2 linked regions of the Sus scrofa genome follow. The protein of the gene in region 1 binds, or shares a complex with, the protein of each later gene. Links are inferred from orthologs where the notes say so. Each region holds a gene or a part of one and is shown in the gene's direction. Other genes may lie near its edges.

Evidence for each region.
Region 2: EXOSC7 (region 1) and EXOSC1 share a complex: the UniProt entries of both Homo sapiens proteins name them as parts of the RNA exosome core complex. The link is inferred for Sus scrofa from reciprocal best matches to the Homo sapiens genes EXOSC7 and EXOSC1.

What each region holds. Positions count from the first base shown.
Region 1 is NC_010455.5:28,173,779-28,181,667, forward strand, and holds the start of EXOSC7 (exosome complex component RRP42), read left to right. Parts: upstream 1-3,027; 5' UTR 3,028-3,037; coding exon 3,038-3,094; intron 3,095-7,889. UniProt on the Homo sapiens protein: Non-catalytic component of the RNA exosome complex which has 3'->5' exoribonuclease activity and participates in a multitude of cellular RNA processing and degradation events.
Region 2 is NC_010456.5:108,838,804-108,846,581, reverse strand, and holds the start of EXOSC1 (exosome complex component CSL4), read left to right. Parts: upstream 1-3,754; 5' UTR 3,755-3,764; coding exon 3,765-3,852; intron 3,853-3,975; coding exon 3,976-4,091; intron 4,092-5,103; coding exon 5,104-5,178; intron 5,179-7,049; coding exon 7,050-7,138; intron 7,139-7,778. UniProt on the Homo sapiens protein: Non-catalytic component of the RNA exosome complex which has 3'->5' exoribonuclease activity and participates in a multitude of cellular RNA processing and degradation events.

The sequences.
Region 1 (7,889 bases):
GACGTGCATTTGTGCTTGAATGGACTCCTTGCTTTTGGAATTAAAACTAAGTATAGCTTACAGGGCACTGCCAATTCCATAACAAACAAAAGCCTCTTTCACCAAATACTCTGGTCAAGGAAATGAAAGGGGACACCTGCATAAGTGGGTGGTTAGGAATGCAGGTATGGGACCTAGGTTGTCCTCAAATCCTGGCTCTCCCACTTACTAGTTATGTGACTTGTGACCTTGGATAAGACAATTAACCCTTCCATACCTCAGTTTCCCAATATGTACAACAGGGATAACAGTACCTGCCTCACAGGGCTATTGTTAATAGGACTGAATCAATTAATCTTCGTAGTTTAGAACAGTGCTGGGCACATAATAAGAACTATTTTGCTTAAGCTGATGTTAGATAAAATTAATAAGGGTACAGAGATTTAGAACTGACATAACTCAAAACAGTATGTCCCCCCTACCCCCCCAAAAATCTGACGGCAACGGGAAAACAAGCTGGCTAATAGAAGAATGTGTCATCTTTGGCTTTTTGATTTTTCTGGCCAATATACAATCTTAGAATTGCTTCAACAATCCAAAAAGAACTATGAATTTATGGATTTTGAAATGTCTAGTGCATTATCACAACAAATGTGATAAAAATGTTCTAGCAGTATTAAAGTAAAACAATCAGTGAAGGTGTCATTGTTTTAGTGGAGAATTTAAAATAAACATTCTATTGTTTACACACTTTTTTTTTTTTTAGGGCTGCATAGGCAGCGTATGCAAGTTCCCAGGCTAGGAGTCCAATTAGAGCTGCAGCGGTTGGCCTAAGCCACAGCCATAGCAAATTGGGATCCAAGCCTCGTATGTGACCTACACCACAGCTCCCAGCAATGCTGGATCCTGAATCCACTGAGGGAAGCCAGGGATTGAACCTGCATTCTCATGGACCCTAGTTGGGTTCATTATCACTGAGCCACAATGAGAACTCCTGTTTACACCTCTTATATCTTCTTGGTCTAACATATCAGATGTTGTTCATAATATTATTTAGCAAATGCTGTCAACCTTTCGCTAGCAAGGAATCTTTAGTCAATTATCAGGGGAACACTTCACATGTATGTTCTGTATTTTTGAAGACACACTGACAGCTTTTAATGTAAAGATGACTTCATGGTATCCAAACTCAGACCTTTCTGTGTCTTTTCTGATCTATTCACTGACACTTTTTAAATCCTCAGTACTCTTAGATATCCTAGCTAGTAAAATTCCACATTCAGGGTCTCTCCTTTCTGAGCAATCTCTAGCACAAAATGCCTTTTCCAACATCAGCAGTCCCTTGTTATCACATCACGGAAGTCCTCATGTAGAATCCAGGCAGCTAATCACACACAACAGGTGGGGCACCTGTGCTTTCATTAGGGAGGAAACCTTTCCGGTTTCAACTCTCCTAGTTTCCCTGGAGGGCAAAGTCCAACACTGCAAGATGTCTTCGCTGTAGGTGCACCTGCAGATGACTATGTAGAGACATCAGAAACAACTAATGTTCAGTTTACTAAGAAGTGATCATCTATTGTGGGGCTCAGCAGTTTAGTGCTTAAGATTGTGGGCAGGTATTTCCTCTCCATACCCTCCTCCTGCCACTGCCCTATCTTCCTGTGCTCATTGGTGCCACTATCATAGCTCTTAACCACCATGTTCTGTGGTTGTGTTGGCCCTGGAGCCTTCCCCCTCTGCCCAGGGACCTTCTCTGGGCAGAAGGGGTGTTTCATTTCCTAGTGTTCCAAAGCTAGCACAAAGCCCATCTATAGTAAGGTCCCACTACTTATTTGTGCAACCGTATTGAAGTTACTGAAAAATGCCTAACAGTTCTTTGGAAGATCAAGCAATCAAGGGTTACTTTCACTTTTCAGAACAGTAGGTTCCTCAAAATTGGGGCGTTTGGAAAAGTCATCAGATCACCTTTTGCTTCCATCGTTTTGGGTTAACTTTCCCCATTTATCCACGTGGCTCCTTTAAAATGTTTCGTGCCCTGTTAGCCCCGCCTTAATGGGCTCCTTCAGTGACCCCATATTCACCTTGCAGGTATCCTTTCCAGATATTCAAGGCCCATATTCCTACTCGGCCACGACTGGGGCTCTCATTTTTCGTCCACGGATCTCAACGACCAAGCTGGGGTTTTCAGCCACTACTGTGAAGCGCTGGGGACGACTGGGCACTACGCCCCTCTCCAGCTCCGGTTACCAAGATTCTCCCCACCTACTCTCTTTGGGACAATGCTCCGGCAACCTCCCAGGGCAAGGGGATTCGGCAAGGTTCTGGGCTAGCGTTCGGTAGTCAGCCCCAGAGAGCAGGCGTGGGGGTAGGAGGAATCCCTAGGGTGAGTGAGGACGCCTCGGGACTAGTGAGCACTTACTCGTGGCCCGGACCCTTCCGGCCGGGAACGACCTATAGGGGCTGTATCGCCTCTTCCCCACCACCCTAGGGACTAGGGAAATGCAAGACAGCGAGGCGGGAGATAGAGCGAAGAGACAATCCCCAGACCAACCACGACGTCCGCCTTCCCTCATTCAGGGTCTGTCGATCTCTCTCTCTCTCACAAGCCCTACTTCAACTCCAGCCTTGCGCAAACTGAGCTGCGCGCCTCTCTCACTGCGAGTCCTCCAGCCCCGGCCCCAGCCCGCTCCTCTCGTCTCACCCCAGCTTTTTCACTCAACCCCAGTTTCCTCACCCAACTGACCATGAAGCCGGAGGCAGTTTCCCAGTCCCAGGTCCCCGGTGAGGCTCCCGCCGCCGCCGCCGCCTCCCCCTGCAGCCTCCGACCCGGCACCCGGCCTCGGGCTGCTGCGATGGCTCCCCAGCACGAGGCGCAGCGGCTCCCTGGACTCGGCCAGACACAGGGCGGCGCGCAGGAGAAGCCCATCGAGCTCCCGGCAGTAGCGACGGCGGCTGCTGCAGGAGCGGCCGCCGCGCAGACTGATGACGCGTGAGCGCGGGGGCGTGGTCACGGGGCGACGCGGGCTGATGACGTGAGGCGGCGGGGCAGCTCGGCAACATGGCGTCTGTGGCTCTAAGTGAGGCGGAGAAGGTGTACATCGTGCATGGTGTTCAGGTAGCGGCAGCAGCTGCATTGGCGCGGCCCGCTGGGTTCCCCTGGCTCTGCGGGTCGCTTCCCGCTCTCAGTTCGCCTGGGAGGACTGCGGCCGATTGGGTTTACTTTGTGATTAAACCACTCGCAGCCGGCGTGTGCATTCTGAAGCTGGCAACGCGGGCATGTTTGGGGCCTGTTGGCGAGCATCCATTTAGACCTATATGCATACTTGCATCTTTCTGGGTCTGTAAGGTTCCTAACCAGGGTAGGAAGTGGTGGGTAGTTCCTGATTCTATTAAATCCCCTCTCAGCCTTCGAGGTCTGAGCTGTCCCACATTTTTTAGGTACATATTCTATCATAATTTTTATCTCGTCGTATCTTTCTAACAGTCCTGAAGGTAAGTATTATCTCTGCTGATAAAGAACTGAGGTCAGAGAGGTTAAGTCACTTGTCCAAGGTCACCTAGTAAGTGTGTGGTGGTGTTACCCAAAAACTGGATTTGCGTTTTGGTGGGTGTGGAGCCAAAAGACACAACCTAGACAAAGATTGAGAGAAGGAAGGATTTATTACTTGCTGCAAGTAGGACACCCGTGAGATCTTTTCCAAAGCAGTGTCTCAAACAGCAAAATTGGGGAACAAGCTAAGGGCACATGTGTATTTGAAGGGGCTTGAGCAGAGGAGAATTCAGCAAGAATTGGGGCAAAATCAATAGGGTGAAGCTTTAGTTGATAGGAGGCTTGAGGGTCAGAAAAGGTCAACGAAAACGTTCCTTAGGTTCCGACCAGTTTGGGGGTGTTAGCCTGTAGTTACTGTACTCCATCTGGTTGAGGGCTTTAGCTCCTATAGAACAATTCAAAGGTACATATTACATTGTCATGTATATCCCTTGAGGAGGAACTTGAACTCTGTTTTACTGCAGAACTATTGTTTCTTTCCTACTTTTCTTTTGTCCTGCATTTTGTTGTTGTTGTTGTTTTTAGGGCTGCACTCAGGGCATATGGAAATTCCCAGACTAGGGGTTGAATCAGAGCTGCCGCTGCCAGCCTGTGCCACAGCCATAGCCACACTGGATCCAAGCCAAATTTGTGACCTACACTGCAAGCTCATTGCAATGCCAGATCCTTAACCCATTGAACAAGTTTAGGAACTGAGCCCTCGTCCTCATGGATACTGGTCGGGTTCATTAACACTGAGCCACATTGGGAAGTCCCTGTTTCTGCATTCTTTTTTTTCCCTCAAGATCATTATTTACTGAGACCTGTTCAAGGGCAAGCATTGTAGCCAGGCTTAGATTACAAAAAGACTTAGGCCAAAATGGCTTCTCTTATGTCCAGAAAGCCATGCCTTACTCTCTTTTTCCAGAGACAACCCCCAACCCCCTCCACCCTCTATGCTTACAGTAGAGCTGGGATATAAATCCAGATCTTTCTGATTGCAAAGCCTAACTCGACTCTCATGCCACTTGCCCTTTTTTAAAAATAGGAATTCAAAGGGGAAAGCCAAAGAGACTCCCCACTTCTACTTTTCTTTCTTCTGTCCTCTGAAAGTATGTTGGGGAAACAGAACAGGGGGAGGGCAAGTTCTGAACTCCCTCCCATTTTTGTAGATCTTGACTAGGATATGGACATATATTGGTATAGTGTTTTTTTACATAGTATTTTTCTACCTTGGTTGGTTCTAGGTTTCTTTAGAACCCTATTTTGCATTTCTTTGTACAAACTTTGTTTTAATAACTTGTATCAAACTAGTTTTTTCTCTGTTTACAACATTCAGGAATTTGGGGGCAAATTGCAGAATTTCCAGAATTAGGGCTTAATCGTTTCGGATTCGTTTAACTACCTAAATGTGTGCTCTCTTTGTCCAAGAGGATACTGTTAACGTCCACGCTATCCTAGTGACACCTAAACCTTGAAGTGCCTTTTACTCATAAAGTACAGCTTCCTGGGCTTTAACTGGACCTTCTGGATCAGAATCTTTGGGGCTGGGGCCTGGAAATAGGTATTTTCATAAACGTTAGGGGATTTTAATGCAGCCACCAGCCATTGGCCCATGGGGAAGCCACTGGCCTGGTCCATCTTGGAGCCCAGAAACGTCTGCTCCTGGCTGAGGTCATATGGCCTTCTGCCTCTGTTTGAATGAGGACTTGGGGTCCGACTGAACAGGGCCCCATCCTGGGCTCCACCATTCACAGTAAGAGAGATTCTAACCTGAGTAGCTGAGTTAGCGCCCCCTGTGTAAATTGAGAATTTAGCCATCTGGGGGCAGAAAGGGTTGTGAGGAACGATGAGATAAGAAAATATGGAGTACTTGGAGTGTTGTCAACCCTGAAGAGCAGTTGGCTCCTTGTCAAGATATGTTCATCAGAAGTGTGGCTTTTCCTAGAACCACCCATACTATATCCCCAACCTTTGTGGTGACCCCATGAGGGGTTCAGCGTGTAGCTGTTGAAGTTTAAGCTCTTTGGATTTGGAGGGCTAGAGATTGTTAAATTATATCAAGAAAAGGGGGTTTGTGGCCAGGTAGGGGCACTGCCTCTCCAGGGCTCTAACATGGACCACATGGACTGTGTGACTGCCTGTCTGTGTCTCTGGTAACACCTCCACTTCTTTCTCCTAGAGTGTCTCCCTTCTCTGTAGCCACTTGCTGTCCAGCTGCCCTTCACCTTGGTACAAGCCATCCCCCCACCTTTACTTCTGTGAGACCTCCATAACCTGTCAGTTCCTCTTTAACTCTTCCCTCCCCCCCCCACAAAAAAAGATCAGAGATCAGATCCAGGAATTCCTGCTGTGGCTCAGCAGATTAAGAACCTGACTGTAGTGTCCATGAGGATATGTGTTCGACCCCTGGCCTCAATCAGTGGGTCAAGGATCTGGCATTGCTGCAAGCTGTGGCTTAGGTCACAGATGAGGCTCAGATCTGGCATTGCTGTGGCTGTAGCATAGGCTGGCAGTTGCAGCTCCGATTCGATCCCTAGCCTGGGAACTTAAATATGCCTCAAGTGCAGCCCTAAAAAGCAGGGAAAAAAAAGAAAAAGGAGAGAGAGAGAGCACATTCCAAGGAGAGGATTGGGTTTTATGCCCCCAAGAGCTGGCCACTCTCTGGATCATTATGTCTTTCAGTCAGGTGCTCTGCAGGCTGGGCAGGATCCCATCCTAGAGGAATGTGGACCTACTTAATAGGCTTGGAAAGTGGAATAAGGATCGACCTTTTGTTTTGCCTGCTCTGTCTTGGTCCTGAGCCTGCAGAGCTGGGCTCTTTCCTAAGCAGGGTGGCTTTTAGGGGAGGCCTCTGGTCACAGTTTTCCTCCAGCAAGCTCTGTGCTCTTGGTCAAGCAAAAGCAAGGTTGTGGGGGTTAACATCACTTCAGGGGACTGCTTTGAGTCTAAATCCTCCCAAGCATGTTGGGTTAGCAAGCCAACTGCCAGCTTCTGTCAGGGAGTAGGACTGGGTTACCTGAGTTTGAGGAACAGCAGCTCTGGATGGATTCACCTGCCCTTCATTCTGTCACACACAGGAGGTTGAAAATTATCGCTTTGAGTTCTGTCTGTAACCTCTCTCCAGGTTGTTTTTGAAGATTCAGTGAGCTAATACATGCCAGCAGAACCAAGAGAAGGAACTGCTGAGTGGGGTCTCCTGTGTGCAGAAGGTTCCCCTCGAGTGATCTATGGCTTCCGGACTTTCCTATAACTCTTTAAGGCCAGGGCTGTTTCCACTTTCTAGACCAAGAGACTCAGAGATGTTAACAGACTAACCTGCTTGAGGTCACCAGGCTGGCATGGGACAGCAGAAATTTAAATATAGATTGGAGATGACTCCACACTACACCCAACTAGGCAAGGTTGTTGTGATCCCATGATCACAACTTGAAAATCATTAGGAGCCAAGGTAGCATCTGGAAGGCCTTTACCTAGAAAGCTGCTCTGTCCCCTCTGTGTGGACAGGGCCATGCTCCATGGTGTTGGTGTCACCTGTGGGCATCTGTTGACTTTAAATGGAGCTTTCACTTCAGGGCAGCCTATGTTTAAGTGTTCACACATGGATTGATTCCTTTGCTCTTGAGCATTGAATGTGAATACAAATTGTGGTAGGGCAGGCTCTGAGCCAGGCCAAGCTGGTTTGGGTAATTTCCTAAGCCTTTTATGAGGTAAAGTGGATTAAGAAAAGTTGTCCTATATGCAGTGATTCATGAACTAGTTTGTTTGCTTTTCTCCTGTTTCATGATTTTTTTCTATAAAAAAATTATACTTTATGCATTCCTGGGAAGGGAAATTTATAGCTCTTTTTATCTCTTGTCACCTAACCCGTCCCGAGGAGGCAGAGAGTGATTTGAAGGCAAGAAAGCAAGAGCTGCTGAGGCCCAGTTTTCTGACACCCCTCCAGCCTTATCCTGGAACAGTGGGTTGTCACTACAGAGGGTTGTGACTAGATCTTTACAGAGTGATCATTTAAAGCAATAGTCGGAAGCCCCGGGGCCCTGAGGCCTCCTTGCTCTCATAGTCCTTATCACCATCAGCAGGACCAACTGGTATAGTGAGCCAGTTCATCCTTTGAGAGAGGCCTGTGCTGCCTTCTTTGCACACCGCAAGAGACCCTTTAGAATGCAGGAGGCAGTGTGGGATTGTGGTTAAGAGCCCTGGCTTGGAATTCAGATGCTATTTACTGGCCGTGACCTTGGGCCAGCCATTTAGCATCTCTCTACTATTTCCCATTTGTAAAATGGAAGGAAAAATTGCTCTCTTACATTGTGAGGTTATTGTGAGGATTCAGTGCATTCACTGGTGCATTAGCTGTGTAGTATTCCCAGCACATTATCTG
Region 2 (7,778 bases), on another chromosome or scaffold:
CTTGTGGATCCCACACCTAGACCTCCTCTGGCGCTATCTGAGTCTTGGCAAGATACTCATCCCTCCTATTCCTTCTGGACTGATGTTACAGGCCCCTAGACCCCACCCGGTAGCATGAGAGTCCCTGTCTCCCGCCAGGCAGCTCAGCTACCCTTTGCATGACCTAAGATGCTGTCTCCAATTCTAGTCCCAGACCCACCCCAAGGTTCCTAAGGCCAAGACAATTTTCCGTGTTTAGAGCAGAACACCACCACAGGCAGGAAACACTGGCAGGAGAGGGGCTGGTGGCTCCCGAAGACCACAGGCCTGCCCTTTCCGTGGAGTCTCCTCTGCCCTGTTCTAGTTTGACACTTAAGAACTTTCTCTGCAGCTGCTGCCCTTGACCCCAAGCTTCCCCACCGGCCTTCCAAGCGCTTTGGCCCTTTGCACAGTCCCTCTTCAAGTGCCTGGACCTCCTCTATGTGGTTTTTACCTCATCTAACAGCCATAGGAGGCCAGCTGCCCAGAATGCCCAGAACAAAACCCAGAGTCCTTGGACGACAGTCTCGTCAGGTCTGCAGATGAAAGGCCTTGCCGGAAAAGAAATTATCTGATTTCCCCATATGGCGACTTTGTCCTCAGCAACTCCACTGACTTATTTAACAGGTAGCTCAAAACCCAGCAGAAACTGGAGGAGGCTGCATCACTGTAGGGATGGTTTCATTTCAGTAACTGGAGCAAGGTACTCTGCTTGCACCCTGGCTCATCCTCACGAAAAGCCTCTAAAGACCGAAGGCAAAAACAAATCCAGCAGACAAGGCCAGCAAAGAGAAGATACCCAATTCAGTAGGGATCGAGTCTCTGTACCAGGATAAAGAAACTGGCCATTCCCATCACCTCTGAGGAACTAAGATTAGAATTAAAGGGCAGTGTAGAAAAGAGAAAAAGGAAAACTTCCTACCTCAAACTTCCTACCTCCTTTTGAGTCAGACTCCTATTGGGTGGGATCATGATTTGGCCTGAAGCATTAATTTTCAAATAGTATACAGCCACAATCAAATGTAAGAGTGGGACAAAACATTTTACCCCATAGCAAATACAGGTGACTTTTTTTTTTTTTCCTCCTGGCTGCACCTGCAGTACATGAAAGTTCCAGGGCCTGGGATCAAGCCCGTGCCACAGCAGTGACCCAAGCCACAGCACTGACAACGCCAGATCCTTAACCTGCTGTGCCACCAGAGAACTCCTGAAATCCAGGTGGCCTAGATCATCCACACCATTACTCATTCCCTTACTATGGCTAATGGGGAGGTTCTCAACATCTTCCAGAATTACTGAGGCCCTCAGGAAATGCTTGCCTCAAGGGCTAGACTTACCAACTCTCACCTGCCCTGTAACTTGACCACTTAGGGCTCAACTCTGCCCTTAAATAGTTCTGTGACCTTGGCCAGGTCACCAAACCCCGTTGGGACTCGACTTTCTTGTGTTCCCATTCAATGAGGGGACAGGATTAAATACTAAGGTCCCTTACAGCTCTACCCCTTTATGATCCTATATATATACTTATATACACTTGATAAGGTATAAATGAAATGTTTATAAAGTGCTTAGCACAATACCTGGGTCATGGAAGTACTCAATAAATACTTGCTGAATGAGTGACCTGGAGGGATGCTGAAGTGGAAAGGCTGGTCAGATGTCTATCTGGCTTACAAATAACAGCAAGGACACCCCTGCCAATGTGATAACACTAAATAGGCGTCCATTGCTACATTCTTCATGATCAATAAAAAGAGAAATGAAAACCATTATTAGAATCACAGCACTTAGGAGCCAGAAGTCATTTTATCTTTTTTTTTTTTTTTTTTTTTTGCCTTTTCTAGGGCCGCTCCCGCGGCATATGGAGGTTCCCAGGCTAGGGGTCGAATCAGAGTTGTAGCTGCAGGCCTACAACACAGCCACAACAACGTGGAATCCGAGCCGCATCTGTGACTTACACCACAGCTCACGGCAATGTCGGATCCTTAACCCACTGAGCAAGGCCAGGGATCGAACCGGCAACCTTATGGTTCCTAATTGGATTCCTTAACCACTGCACCATGACGGGAACGCCCAGAAGTCATTTTAGAAAGCTAGTCCAACCAGAAATCAAGCCAAACAATAGTTCCCATTGCGGCTCAGTGGTAATGAACCCAACAAGTATTCAAGAGGTTACAGGTTCTATCCCTGGCTCCACTCAGTGGTTTAAGGATATGCATTACCACAAGCTGTAGTTTAGGTCACACACAGCTCAGATCTGGCGTTGCTGTGGCTGTGGCATAGGCTAGCAGCTGCAGCTCCAAATTAGACCCCTAGCCTGGGAACTTCGATATGCTGCAGATTTGGCCCTAAAAAGAAAAAGAAAGAAAGAGAAAGAAAGAAAGAAAGAAACCAAACATGTAAACTGAAAGCTTGTAGATGCAAAGCTACAGATCAGATTATTGTAAAGGAAGACTGAGGCCAAGCCCCTGCCCCTTATTTTAGGGATTTGTGCACAGGGCACGCAGGGGAGGGTGTACGCCAGGGAAGAGAATACTTAGTCCATGGGGCTATAACTTAACATATGAAGTTTTCATCTCATGAAACTGAGGTAAAGCAGAACTCAAAAAAACAAAACTGTGTGCTGGGGGTCAGGGGGGCGGGAGTGAACAGGACAGGAAATAGAGCCACCCACTACTGATCCCCAGCCCTAGCTCTGAGCATTCTGATCCCTGAGTAGTAGCCACAGGCCATCAGAAGAGACATCTGACATCTGCCACAGATCAGAGGAGATGGAAAGCCACTACACTCAAAGGCTCTAAGTCACCATCTCTCTTCCAAAGGGAAACCGGATATGCGGGACATGTGGGGTGAGAAGGGATTCGAAAGCCACCAGAAGGCAAAGGAAACCGAGAAAAATGTCGACAAATCTCATATGGACAAAGATGCCGTTCTCAGGGTATTTGCAGTCTCAAGTACTGGACGTCAATCATCAGAGAGAGCAGCTTTTATTCATGCGCAGACTTCCCTGCCAGACTAACACGCTCCACTTGACAAGATCCGACCGCAAGATGCAAGCTGCAGTTACAAAAACCAGGAAAAGGTTTTACTTCACATAAAGGCTGGCCTGGTCAAAGGGTGATGGACTGGAAGTAAAATAACTTGGATACCGATTTGGTCTCTACCTTGAACTATCTTAGAGACACTGCACAAGTCAAATCCTATCTCTGGAGCTGAGCTTCCAAATCTGTGAAATGGGTGAGTTGGGTTGGCTGACCTCCTTCAACTCTGCACCGTAAGACTGTCGGAAGGTGCGCTCCGCCCGGTTTGAAGGCAAGGCCGTACAGAGCAGGAACTCGGGCTCACAAGGCCGGAATAGGGCCCGACCCTAGCAAAAGGGACAGGACTGAGCAGCAAAGGCCGTGGCTTCGCTCTTACCTGCCTCCCCAATCAGTCAAATCGAATCCTGCAGCCTCCGCTGCAGCTCACTGCTACCCCCTCCAGCTCCGCGCCACAGCCCGGCCCGGCTCAACCCAACCAACCATGTCCAGCAGCCCACAGCTCCAGCCTGCAGACCCGGACCCGCCGCCTGCCCATTCTCTTCCACAGGCGCAAGCGCAAGCGCAGGAGTTCCGGAACTCCGCCCCCAAGCCCGTCCCGGGGCAACCTGGGAAATGGAGTTTACCCCTCCCCTCAAGAGTGAGTCTGGCGAGCACGTGACAGAAGTCACCAATTGGCGCGTTTCTTACTGCGGGAGTGCACACCTGATGTTGGCCAATGAGCAGTCGACCTCATTTTCCTTCGGACTTCGGACAGAGGCAGTCATGGCACCACCTGTGAGGTATTGCATCCCCGGTAAGTCGGCGGTTCCCAGAGGGAATCCTGGGCAGAGGCAAAGGCAGGAAGGCCGGACGACCAACAGCTTCTGCGGTCCTGTGGCTGATGCAGCGGTTTTTTGGGTTTTTTTTTTTTGCGCAGGCGAACGTCTGTGTAATTTGGAGGAGGGGAGCCCCGGCAGCGGCACCTACACCCGGCACGGCTACATCTTTTCGTCGCTTGCTGGCTGCCTGACGAAGAGCAGCGAGAACGGCGCGGTAAAGGGGCTGGTTTCCTCTCTCCTCGGTTTCTGCCTTTCTCATGCTGCTTTTGATGTCACGATCCTTAGGCAAGGGCCCTGCGGGCGCGATTCGGGATCCTCGTTCAGTAGAAGGAGTTGGTCTCAGAGTCCCCAGTGAGCCACAGAGTCTTTGTACACACGCCGTCTGTCTGGAACGCGCTACTCTCTTCCTTATCCTGTGTTTGTTTATTTTGACGGGGCCGCACCTGGGGCATGTGGAGATTCCTGGGCCAGGGATGGAATCCCCGCCACAGCAGTGACCCCAGCCACTGCAGTGACAAAGTGAGATCCTTAATCCACTCACCCACAAGAAAACTCCTCCCTTAGCCTATTTAATTCCTACCTAACTTTCAGATAGCCCCACTGGTACCACTTTCTCATATAAGCCCTCCTAAACACCACTAATAAAAAGAATTTTGGAAGTTCTCTTGTGGTTCAGTGGCTTAGGATGCTGCTGTGGCTTGGGTGGGTCTGATCTCTGGAATTAACTCATTCTGCAGGAACTCATCTGAAATGATTGGATTATGCCTTCGAGCAGCATTCTGTGGCCCCTTGGCTCTCCTATGTTCTAAAATTTCTTTTTTTAAGTCTTTTTTTATTAAAGTATAGTCAACTGTCAGTATTCGTCAATTTTTGCTGTGCTGCAGTGACCTAGTCATACATACATATACATTTTTTTTCTCATATTTTCTTCTATCATGTTCTATCACAAGTGATTGTGTATAGTTCCCTGTGCTATACAGCAGGACCTCATTGCTTATCCATTCTAAATGTAATAGTTTGCATCTACTAACCCCCAGCTACCAGTCCATCCCACTCCCTCCCTGTCCTAAAATTTCTAAGGCTTTCTGCTCTGGGCTACAAAAGAATCTAGTCCTCCTGTCCTTGTGTCAACTGTGGCCCGAGGCATATGCATATTACTGTCAAGCCACAAATACCTTTACTGAAGGCTTAGGCAGGATACTCATGTTTTATTGTTCTCGCTGTAGCTTCCTGTCATATCTGTGATGAGAGAAACGGATTCCCAATTATTGCCAGATGTGGGAGCTATTGTGACCTGTAAGGTAAGTTCATCCTAAACTCCCTGCTTAAGGTACCATCCAATGCTGAAATCATGATCATTGTAAAATAGCACTGTCCAGTATGGTAACCAGTAGCCATATGTGGCCGTTTAAATAAATTAAAATCTGTCATCACAGAAGGTTTTCCCGGCTTGTGCTAGTCTAGAGATTTCTAGGATAATGATCAATGCGGTCCAGTTCAAGCTTGCATGGTTCTTTTACAGAGCTGGTTCCCTGAGTATGTAGATTTACTTTTGACTGGGAAACAGAGGCACCAAAGGGTGATAAGGAAGCTTTTTTTTTTTTCATGTTCTTTTCTATTATGATTTAGCACAAAATATTAAATATAGTTTCCTGTGCTGTACAGTAGGACCTTCTTGTTTATTCCTTCTGTATATTATAGTTGGCATCTGCTAATCCCAAACTCCCAATCCCTCTCTCCCTCAGTGCCCCCTCACCCTTGGCAACCACAGATCTGTTCTTTATGTCTGTGAGTCTGTTTCTGTTTCATAAATAAGTTCATTTGTGTCATATTTTAGATATCGTAAATAAGTAATATCATGTATTTGTCTTTCTGTTTTTGACTTATTTAGTACGATCATCAAGATCCATCCACATTGCTGTAAATGGATTATTTCATTCTTTTTTGTGGCTGAGTAGTATTCCATTGTATATATGTATCACATCTTCTTTATCTAGTTATCTGTCAGTGGACATTTAGGTTGATTCCATGTCTTGGCTATTGTAAATAACGGCGTAATAAACATTGGGGTCCATGTATCTTTGCAAATTGTAGTTTTCCCAGGTATATGCCCAGGAGTGGGATTGCTGGATTGTGTGGCAATTCTTTTTTTAGTTTTTTGAGGAACCTCCATTCTGTTTTCCATAGTGGTTGCACCAACTTACTTTCCCACCAACAGTATAGGAGGGTTACCTTTTCTCCACACACCCTCCAACATTTGTTATTTGTAGACTTTTTAATGATGGAGGAGGCCTATATTTGAGCATCTGAAGCAAAACTTTTTCGGCAGAGAAACAAAAGATTTTATAAAGTCTTTGAGGGAAAGTACAAATTAATGCTGCACTTATCAGTAGCTATAATACATCAGTATTCCCTACCCATCCCCACTCTCTGCCAGTTAAATTAACTCATAGCTCTTTGTTTCTCTCTATAAATCACTCTAACAGAAATCTATTTTCAAAATCTGTCATGTTGAAAACTGCAGAGGCAGTGATCTAAATAGAATGCAGCAACTGAAACGGAGACTTAAATTCTGTTCACACTACAGGGCTCTTAGTAAGTTTGTTAAAAGTCTAGCTAGATTTGCTATATTTCCTTGTGTAGACTTGTATGTTTTTCTAAATCTGTACCGTATTATTTCATTTGATTCCCACAGTAACTGTTAGGTGTAGAGTGGCTCTTGTTTCATTTTTTGTAATCACTTATCCAGGGATAAATAAATAGCAGTTAATTTGTCTTAACTTCTGTACTTAGGAGTTCCCATCATGGTGGTGCAGAAACATCCAACTAGGAACCATGAGGTTGCGGGTTCCATCCCTGGCCTCACTCAGGGGGTTAAAGATCCGGCATTGCCATGAGCTGTGATGTAGGTTGCAGACACGGCTCAGATCTGACATTGCTGTGGCTATAGTGTAGGCCTGCAGCTTCAGATCAGATTGGACCCCTAGCCTGGGACCCTCCATATGCTGCCACTGTGGCCCTAAAAAGGCAAAAAACAAAACAAAACAAAAAATTCTACACTTAGTAGAGTTGCCTTGGACTAAAATCCTGGTAATTCCTAGTTTATCATGCCTCCTTGAGCTGGCAGCTACTAATACTGGAATGCCTAATGCTGCAATTTTCTCTATTCCAGGTCTCTAGCATCAATTCACGCTTTGCCAAAGTACACATTCTGTATGTGGGGTCCACACCACTTAAGAACTCTTTTCGAGGAACTATCCGGTAAGAAGTATTTTTGTCTTCATATTAGCTGCAGTACTTGGAATGAGATTAAGATAGAATGGGAGACCGGAATTTTTAAGAACAATTAGAATCCTTATTCATGCCTACTTCTCTCGTCTCTGTGCATTGGTTCTCCCCAAGTAGTATCCAGAGAAAATGTTGTATGTGTTAGGACAAAAAGGAAATATTAACGAGATAGTATTTAAATAAAACAAAAAGAGGAGTTCCCGTTGTGGCTCAAGGGTAATGAACCTGACTAATATCCATGAGGATGCAGGTTTGATCCCTGGCCTTGCTCAGTGGGTTAAGGATCCAGCATTACCATGAGCTGTGGTATAGGTCGCAGATTCGCCTCAGATCTGGTGTTGCTGTGGCTGTGGTGTAGGCTGGCAGCTGCAGCTCCAATTCAACCCCCAACCTACGAATTTCCATATGCCATAGGTGTGGCTCTAAAAAGAAAGAAAAACAAAAAATAGAAACATAAAAAAGAGGAGTTTTGCTGTAGCACAGCAGGTTAAGGATCCCAAGTTGTCACTGCTACAGCTTGGGTTTGATCCCTGACCCCAGGAACTTCCACAGGCCAAGGGCTTGGCGAAAAATAAATTAGTTAAAAATATAAAATGAATAGAGCTAAGCTGGG